2 linked regions of the Lonchura striata genome follow. The protein of the gene in region 1 purifies or fractionates together with the protein of each later gene. This does not show direct contact. Links are inferred from orthologs where the notes say so. Each region holds a gene or a part of one and is shown on either strand. Other genes may lie near its edges. The genes, in order: EXOSC10 and EXOSC9.

Region 1 (3,908 bases):
AAATACCTGCAACAAGTTATCCCCCCAAAAAATAAACCCCTTACCTTCAGGCAAAGGCTTCAAAGCATTTGGTTTGATAAAAAGTTTAGGTACAAAGGGAGTGTTGGAATTGTCAATCTTTTCACGAAACTTAAGCTGTGGTCGAGAAATATTCTTGGCATGAAGCAGTCGGAATGTTTCAGACTGAGTTCTCTTGTGGAATTCTCCTGCCTATTTAAAAAAAACAGAGGTAAAACTAACATGACTTACCAGACATTCTTTTCCTCAGTCTGATCCAACATTCAGAGGAAGAGTTATACCCCACAATTAAAACTGAGTAACTATTTTTCATTAAGGAAAAGAAGTTGTGACTCAAGATCCTGAATTCATAAGCACAGGAAAGGCTGTTGAGCATGTGAAACTGAAATGGCAATTGAAAGCATGAAGATTTCAGAACCAAGTTTGAATGAGTAGGAAAAAGAGAAAAAGAGAGAGGTACTTAGAATGCATGAAAAAACACTGGAGAACTGGAAGTGCAATGGCTGGGAGAACAGCTGAGCTAAGACAGCCAAACTGAGCATGGGAGCCTCACCTTACGGTTCCAGCTGGAAACAATCATCTGTGGGGGCTGTAACCCAGCTGGCAGGACTGGCTGCTGGTTTCTATTCACTCCTGATGCTTCATCCAATAAAATACTCTAAAATCCAGAAAACCAATGTGAAACACCTGTTAAATCACCACACCCAGACACTCTAATCAAGCTGAGTAAAGAAAGTCATGTAGGTAGGTACCTCCATAGCCATCTCCCCCAAATTTTGTGCAACACAAAGACAAACATGAGACCACGTTGAAGATGAGGGGTGGGAAGAGTTTCTTCAGAGCTCTCTAAAATGTATAGACATGTTCTCAGGCTGTGAGTATTTTATGTCAAACTGTATTTAGTTTCCTCACACATCCCATATTACCTTCCCCACCTTTGGCCCACCTACCTTTGCTGCGATCTCTGGCCTAGCATTTGGAAGTTTTTAAAATAAAAAGGGAATACATCAAATTGAGGAAACAGTGAGTAATTGTGGAAGCTGTGCCACTAGAGTTCTTGCAACAAAAAAAAGAAAACTTATGGCAACTGAATACTTTATAAGAAACACATCCAGAAATAATTTACTTACCACTCTTTCAAGAATGACATCATTGGAGTCAACCAGCATATCAAATTTATCTTCCAGCCCTGTCACTTTGCTGGAATCTTTCATGAGGCTCCGGCAGCCATGGTACTGCATCACCTGGCTCATGCTTGCAAGAGAACAGCACAGCTGTCAGCAATCTGAAAGCAGGCTATCTAAACACTAAAACACCCAATTCTCTTAGACTTTCTACCCTTAAAAGTCTGAAAATAAATCAAATTATAGATATCATTACATGAGCAGTAAATAGAAAAAGCATCTATACAATATTAAAGTGTTAGAATTAGTTTCTCACAAACATGACTTTTAAAATGGGCAGCCTAATGTGTTCAGTATCAGGTGTGTTCAGTATCTTCTTTGCACAGCTCTTCATGGCAATCATTATGAAATACCCTCTTTAAGCTTGCCACTTCAGCTGCCAAGTGCTAGAGAAGCAGCTGAAATCAGACATATGAAATAAACCACCTCTTTACCTATGGCAAGCACGAAGTTGTCGAAGAAGGGGGCTACTTTTTGGTGTGGCTTGACAGCTACTAGCAACAGCTCAGAGGGGCAGAGGGGCCCTTACCAGCGGAGCAGGCGGTCGCTCTGCGTGTTGCAGTACGCGCGGAACCCAGGGAAGCTGCAGTAGAAATCGTACTCGTCACCGGGCTGGGGCAGCCCGCTAGATGCCTTTGTTGCAGCCACCACTGTGCCGAGAGCATACTGTGCAAGAACACCAGCATTTTATCATCAGCATTTTGTTTCTCTTTACTCGAGATACTCTTTGATAGAAATGTACTTTGCCTGGCTGGAACTGCATGGTTCTAATGTGTGGTACTGCGGGGCTTTTCACCAGGAGTAACTTCATGTCATTATTTACACAGCTTTAAATATCAAAAGTTTAAAAACTAGTGATCAGACACTGAATAGGCTTCCCAGGAATGGTCGAAGCCCCAAGGCTGCCAGAGCTCCAAGAGCATTAGGACAATGCTCTCAGGCACGAGGTGGGGTTGTAGGGGTGTCTGTGCAGGGCCAGGAGCTGGACTCGATGATCCTTGTGGGAACCTTCCAATGCAGAATATTCTACAGTTCTAAATCAGCAGGAACACAGATAATTACTTTATTACTCTAACAATATACCCCAAATCCCTGCAAATTTGGGATGTAGCAGCCATTTCCTCTCCGAAAGGTAAAACACACGGGGGCTGATGCTGCGATTTGTAAGGCGAGAGGCAATTCTCATCGCAACAAGGCTTCATGAGCGTCCTGATTCCTTGGCATTTCCAGGAGTCCCCGGTGGCTGACAGGGCCCGACCCAGGCCGGTAACAGGTCCAGACACACCTCTCTGGGCCCCGCACCCGCCGGCCGGCCCACACCCTCCTTCTCGCACTGGGAGACACCCGTGGGGTGTCCCAGCTCAGGCTGGGATCCCCACGCGGCCCCGCGGGACAGAACTACAGCTCCCGGCATGGCCCGAGCGCACACGGCACGCCGGGAGCGGTAGTGCCTCACCCGCTCTCCCTGCCCCTCTCCGACCTCACCTTGACGAAGGCGTCGGGACTGTCGAACCCGGGCAAGGCCGGCATCGTGCTCCTTCCCTCGGTGTCCGCGGGCGCCCCGGAGCTGCCCGCCCGCCCCGCCGGGCTCCCCTCACGGCCGGCAGCCGCCATGTTGACGCGCGGCTGTCGCGAGAACTGCGGGCCGGAAGGGAGCTGAGACCCGCGGGCACCGCGGGCGCCCCCAGCGGCCGGACGGGGCAGGACGAGCCCTGTGTGGGCGGGAAGGTCTGAGGAGCGGCTCGGCGGCCGCGCGGCCGGGCTGCCGTGTGGCGCATTCGGCCTTTCCCCCCACAACCACCGGCTGCCGTGTGGCGCATTCGGCCTTTCCCCCCACAACCACCGGCTGCCGTGTGGCGCATTCGGCCTTTCCCCACAACAAACACCCACCGGCTGCCGTGAGGCGCATTCGGCCTTTCCCCCCACAAACACCCACCGGCTGCCGTGAGGGGCATTCGGCCTTTCCCCACAACAAACACGGCTGCCGTGAGGCGCATTCGGCCTTTCCCCCACAAACATCAGCTGCCGTGAGGCGCATTCGGCCTTTCCCCCCACAAACACCCACCAGCTACTGTATGGCACATTCAGCCATTTCCCCCCACAAACACCCACTGGCTTCTGTGCAACACATTCGGCCTTTCCCCCCACAAACACCCACTGGCTGCTGTGCGACATATTCGGCCTTTTCCCCTCACACCCACAGATTCAGGCTTTTTCCTCCACAAACACCCACCTGCTGCTCTGAGGCAGATTTCAGCCATTTCCCCCACAAATACCTACCGGCTGCTGTGAGGCACATTCAGCCATTTCTCCCACAAACACACACCAATTTGCCCATTTCCCCCCACACACCCACCTGCTGCCATGAAACACATTCAGCCATTTCCCCCCACAAACACCCACTGGCTGCCATAAGGCACATTCGGCCTTTTTCCCCCACAAACACCCACCTGCTGCCGTGAGGCAGATTTCAGCCATTTCCCCCACAAACACCCACTGGCTGCTGTGAGGCACATTCAACCATTTCTCCCACAAACACACCGATTCGCCCATTTCCCCCCACAAACACCCACCGGCTGCCATGAGGCACATTCAGCCATTTCCCCCCACAAACACCCATCGGCTGCCATGAGGCACATTCAGCCATTTCCCCCCACAAACACCCATCGGCTGCCATGAGGCACATTCAGCCATTTCCCCCCACAA
Region 2 (3,908 bases), on another chromosome or scaffold:
GTCCATTAAATTCTTTACCCTTCTTAGCACATGTACAAGCACCAAAGCTGCAAAGTAGCCTTTGTGTGAAGAAGACTGTGTGGATCAAAGGGGACGCAGCTGATTTCCAGCCCCAATACATGACTTATTTCCCCTGGAATTACATCCAGCTCCCACTGAAGTTCACCATCACCACCACCTTCTCTTTTGAAAACGTGCTTTTCCGCCAGCCCGATAGATCGAGTCACTTAACAGTTCACTGAGAGAGCAGGAACAGGAATTTTCCCACTCCACCTCAAGCAGAAATCTCAATATATGCTGAAATTAACATATTTTTGTAATTGACGAAGAGTAAAGTAGTTTGGACAACTCCCACAAACAAAAAAAAACGCTTCCAAATTTGCTGTTAGTAAACTTGAAGAGTTACAGAATTTAACCCCAAGCCTTCGCTAATGAATATTGTCGCCAAATTCACACCAAAAAAGTAAAATCAGACAGAATTTCCACGTAAAAATTGTCAGTAAAACTCCAAGGGCAATTTGCTTATTTTTGTCCTTGGAGAAGGAGTGTCTTTCTGTAATTTTATAGATATTTTCTTACACCTATTATTTGTGATGATATTTATCCTAAACTGAAAATATAAAACCAGCATGGGAAAATCAGGCAGCACTTGTCCTCACTAGCACAAACTTGTGAGTTTTAGAAACACGACTTACATTTTAGTTTGTACCAGAACTGTAGTGTATTAACAAGGCTTGAAAAGACAGCGTGACTGAGCTATTTCAACACTTTTGTGTGGAATATGCCAGTGTCTGGGGTTTAGTATTGGTGGGAAGACAATAGATTTTCTCGTTTTAGCTCAAACGAAGCATAAAAGCCACTTGTAAAGGCCTTTTTACTTACGGGCAACATTTCAGAACAGCAGGGAGGGATGTTCTGCTGGCAGCCCGGGTGCCGCGGGGCATCCGCACCTGGAGGGCTGGGCACCACAATAGTGTTAACCACTCGAAATGTCCGGCATGCATGTTTTGTGCGGTTTTTTTGTTGGGTTTTTTTGTGTTTTTTTTTTTTTTTTTTTTTTTTTGTTGTTGTTGTTGTTGTTGTTTGTTTGGTTGTTTTTTTTTAAATTCCAGATGGCTTTCCTGAGGACCGGCACTCCGGCACCATTTGTCGCTGCCGAGGCGCTGAGGCGCGCACCCTCACACCCTGCACCGGCGCGCCTTCTCCTCGGGTGCTGCGTGCAGTTTTGGGCACCGCAGTAAGGAAAAGACAGGGAGCTGCTGGAGAGCACGAGGGTGCTGAAGGGCCCGGAGGGGAAGCCGTGTGAGGGGCGCCTGGGGGCGCTTGGTCTGTTCAGCTGGCGGAGACTGAGGGGAGACCTCAGCATCCTCGGGAGGGGGAGCGGAGGGGCAATGCCGATCTCTGCACTCTGGTGACCAGGGATAGGACTCGGGGAAGCAGCGTGAAGCTGAGTGGGGGCAGGTTTAGCTCGGATAGCAGGAAGTTTCCCCAAGCAGAGCGCGCTGCCGCCCGGCTACGGGAGTCTCGGGGCCGCGCCCTCCCTGAGGGGGCGCGCGCGGGGGCGGCAACGCCGCGGCGCGTGCGCGCTGGGCACGCGCGGCGCGCGGCGATGACGCGCGCGCTCCCCCCCCGCGCCGTGCCCCGCGCGCGCTGCCCCCTCACGGCGCGGCCATGAAGGCGACGCCGCTCTCCAACTGCGAGCGGCGCTTCCTGCTCCGCGCCATCCAGGAGAAGAAGGTGCGGCGCCAGCACCCCCCTCCCCGCCCCTTTCCCCATCCCTTTCCCCATCCCCTTGCCCGCCGCCCGCGGAGCGCGGCTGTCGCCGGGAGCCGCCTCCCCCGCCGCGGTGCCGTCGCATGGCGGGCATGGCGCACCGACCCTCTCCATGTGTGTGTCCCTGTGTTCCCGCAGCGCCTGGACGGGAGGCAGTGCTACGACTACCGGAACATCCGCGTCTCCTTCGGCGCGGACCGCGGCTGCTGCATGGTGGAGCTGGGCAGGACCAGGTGGGCGCGGGGGCTCGGCCGCGGGCCCCGGGCCAAGGAGAGCCTGAGGTTCCCCTGCCTGCAGACATCTCTGTAAACAGATTTTAACCTTTCAAGCCCTAAAGCCCTAGTATTTCAAGGGTGGGAGCAAAGAGGAGAGGATGGAAAGGAAGGAAGCGGGAAAGGGATGGGGTTTCCGTGATGATTGTAGTTACAAATAATTTATAAAATGCAGAATTGTTCCCAGGTTTTCATCCGTTTATTCAGTGGTCTCACGTTTTGCATTCTTCCCCAGACCAAACAACCCTTTTTTGCCTGTGTAAAAGTGAAATCTGTGCATTTACATAAATATGTCATTACAGTTTCTCATGTGTTTGAGTCAATTCTTAGTCTTAAAAGACAGGAGTACGTTCTAGTTCTTAACATTTGGCTCCTTCAGTTGTTGACCAGATTTTAAATAATGTTTGACAGATGTTGAACGAGAAACTGTCAGGAGTGAGAATTACAAACTAAAACCCTAACCACATGCTTTTTTCTCCCCAAGTATGTGTTTTGTTTCTAGATTTTCCCTGGTATTTTCTGTGACTTGGTGGTTTATTTGCCTTGGCAGGGTTCTTGCACAGGTCTCGTGTGAACTCGTTCCGCCTAAGCCCAGTCGACCCACAGAGGGTGTGCTCTTCTTCAATCTGGAGCTCTCACCCATGGCTGCACCTGGGCTGGAGCCTGGCAGGTAATGCATGTCTTAAAAGGAGTAAACAGGGATGGCATAAAAGCCACTGTAATCGTATTGACTTTGGGTTAATTTTATTCCAACAGACAATCTGAGTTACTGGTGTCACTGAACAGACTACTGGAGCGATGCCTCAGAGATTCCAAATGTATTGAGACTGAATCTCTCTGCGTTGTTGCTGGTGAAAAGGTAGGAAAACTTCTTCATTCCTGGTGGGTTTAAACTAAAAAATACATATAGTCCAATTTTAAGTTGGTCTCTGTCTTGTGTTGGATAGTAGAAGTACTGATTTTAGGTTAATGTAAAGATCCACTCATCTGATTTGAGAGGTATTTTTAACTTGTCATGTCTGCATAGGCTTTCTGAAGTAGCTGGGACCCTACAGAATGTTGTTTAAATTGTGCTGAAGTGCTGCATATTTTGTCCTAATTAAATCTGGCACAGTGGGTCTCTTGAAATATACCTAGATCTCTAATCTTCTTAGTCAAAGACCTAGGGAAAATATATTGGTTCTTTGTCTGTTTCAAAAAAGATGAACTAGTTTTGAAGAAAAATTAATTTCTGTAGAATCAAGCAGTTTTGTATTTTTTGTATTTTTGTCAGGTTTGGCAAATTCGGCTGGACATGCACCTGTTAAACCATGATGGCAACATCACTGATGCTGCCAGCATAGCAGGGATTGTAGCTCTGTGTCATTTTCGCAGGCCAGATGTGTCTGTGCAAGGAGAGGAAGTAACTGTGGTAAGCTGGGTTTTTGTTTCTGTTTTAAATTTCCTGAAATTTCTTTGTCACTTTAAAATTAAACGAGTTTAATAAATAACTGTATTCTGGGCCAATTCCTTTCCAAGTACACTCCTGAGGAACGTGATCCTGTCCCCTTGAGTATCCACCACATGCCCATTTGTGTCAGTTTTGCCTTCTTCCATCAAGGGTAAGATTTTGAGGTCTTATGTACCCACATAAGGGGTATAAACCTTGCCAACTCCTTTGTTTAATTGTGTTTAAGGGTAGTAAGGTGTCTCGAATTTCTACTGTTGCCTCATATTTCAAACCTTGATTCTAGGACCTATTTGTTGGTGGACCCAACTGAACGTGAGGAGCGGGTGATGGATGGGCTCCTCGTAATTGCCATGAATAAACACCATGAAATTTGTACCATCCAGTCCAGTGGAGTGGTCATGCTGCTGCCAGAT

The links.
Region 2: the proteins of EXOSC10 (region 1) and EXOSC9 purify together in Homo sapiens (co-immunoprecipitation; 7 studies listed by BioGRID and IntAct, with this or other methods). This does not show direct contact. The link is inferred for Lonchura striata from reciprocal best matches to the Homo sapiens genes EXOSC10 and EXOSC9.

The regions. Positions count from the first base shown.
Region 1 is NC_134626.1:5,832,582-5,836,489, reverse strand, and holds the start of EXOSC10 (exosome complex component 10), read right to left. Parts: upstream 2,832-3,908; 5' UTR 2,817-2,831; coding exon 2,688-2,816; intron 1,869-2,687; coding exon 1,732-1,868; intron 1,273-1,731; coding exon 1,149-1,272; intron 677-1,148; coding exon 572-676; intron 211-571; coding exon 45-210; intron 1-44. UniProt on the Homo sapiens protein: Catalytic component of the RNA exosome complex which has 3'->5' exoribonuclease activity and participates in a multitude of cellular RNA processing and degradation events.
Region 2 is NC_134606.1:69,540,190-69,544,097, reverse strand, and holds the start of EXOSC9 (exosome complex component RRP45), read left to right. Parts: upstream 1-1,630; 5' UTR 1,631-1,671; coding exon 1,672-1,737; intron 1,738-1,911; coding exon 1,912-2,006; intron 2,007-2,595; coding exon 2,596-2,715; intron 2,716-2,801; coding exon 2,802-2,904; intron 2,905-3,318; coding exon 3,319-3,456; intron 3,457-3,563; coding exon 3,564-3,646; intron 3,647-3,778; coding exon 3,779-3,908. UniProt on the Homo sapiens protein: Non-catalytic component of the RNA exosome complex which has 3'->5' exoribonuclease activity and participates in a multitude of cellular RNA processing and degradation events.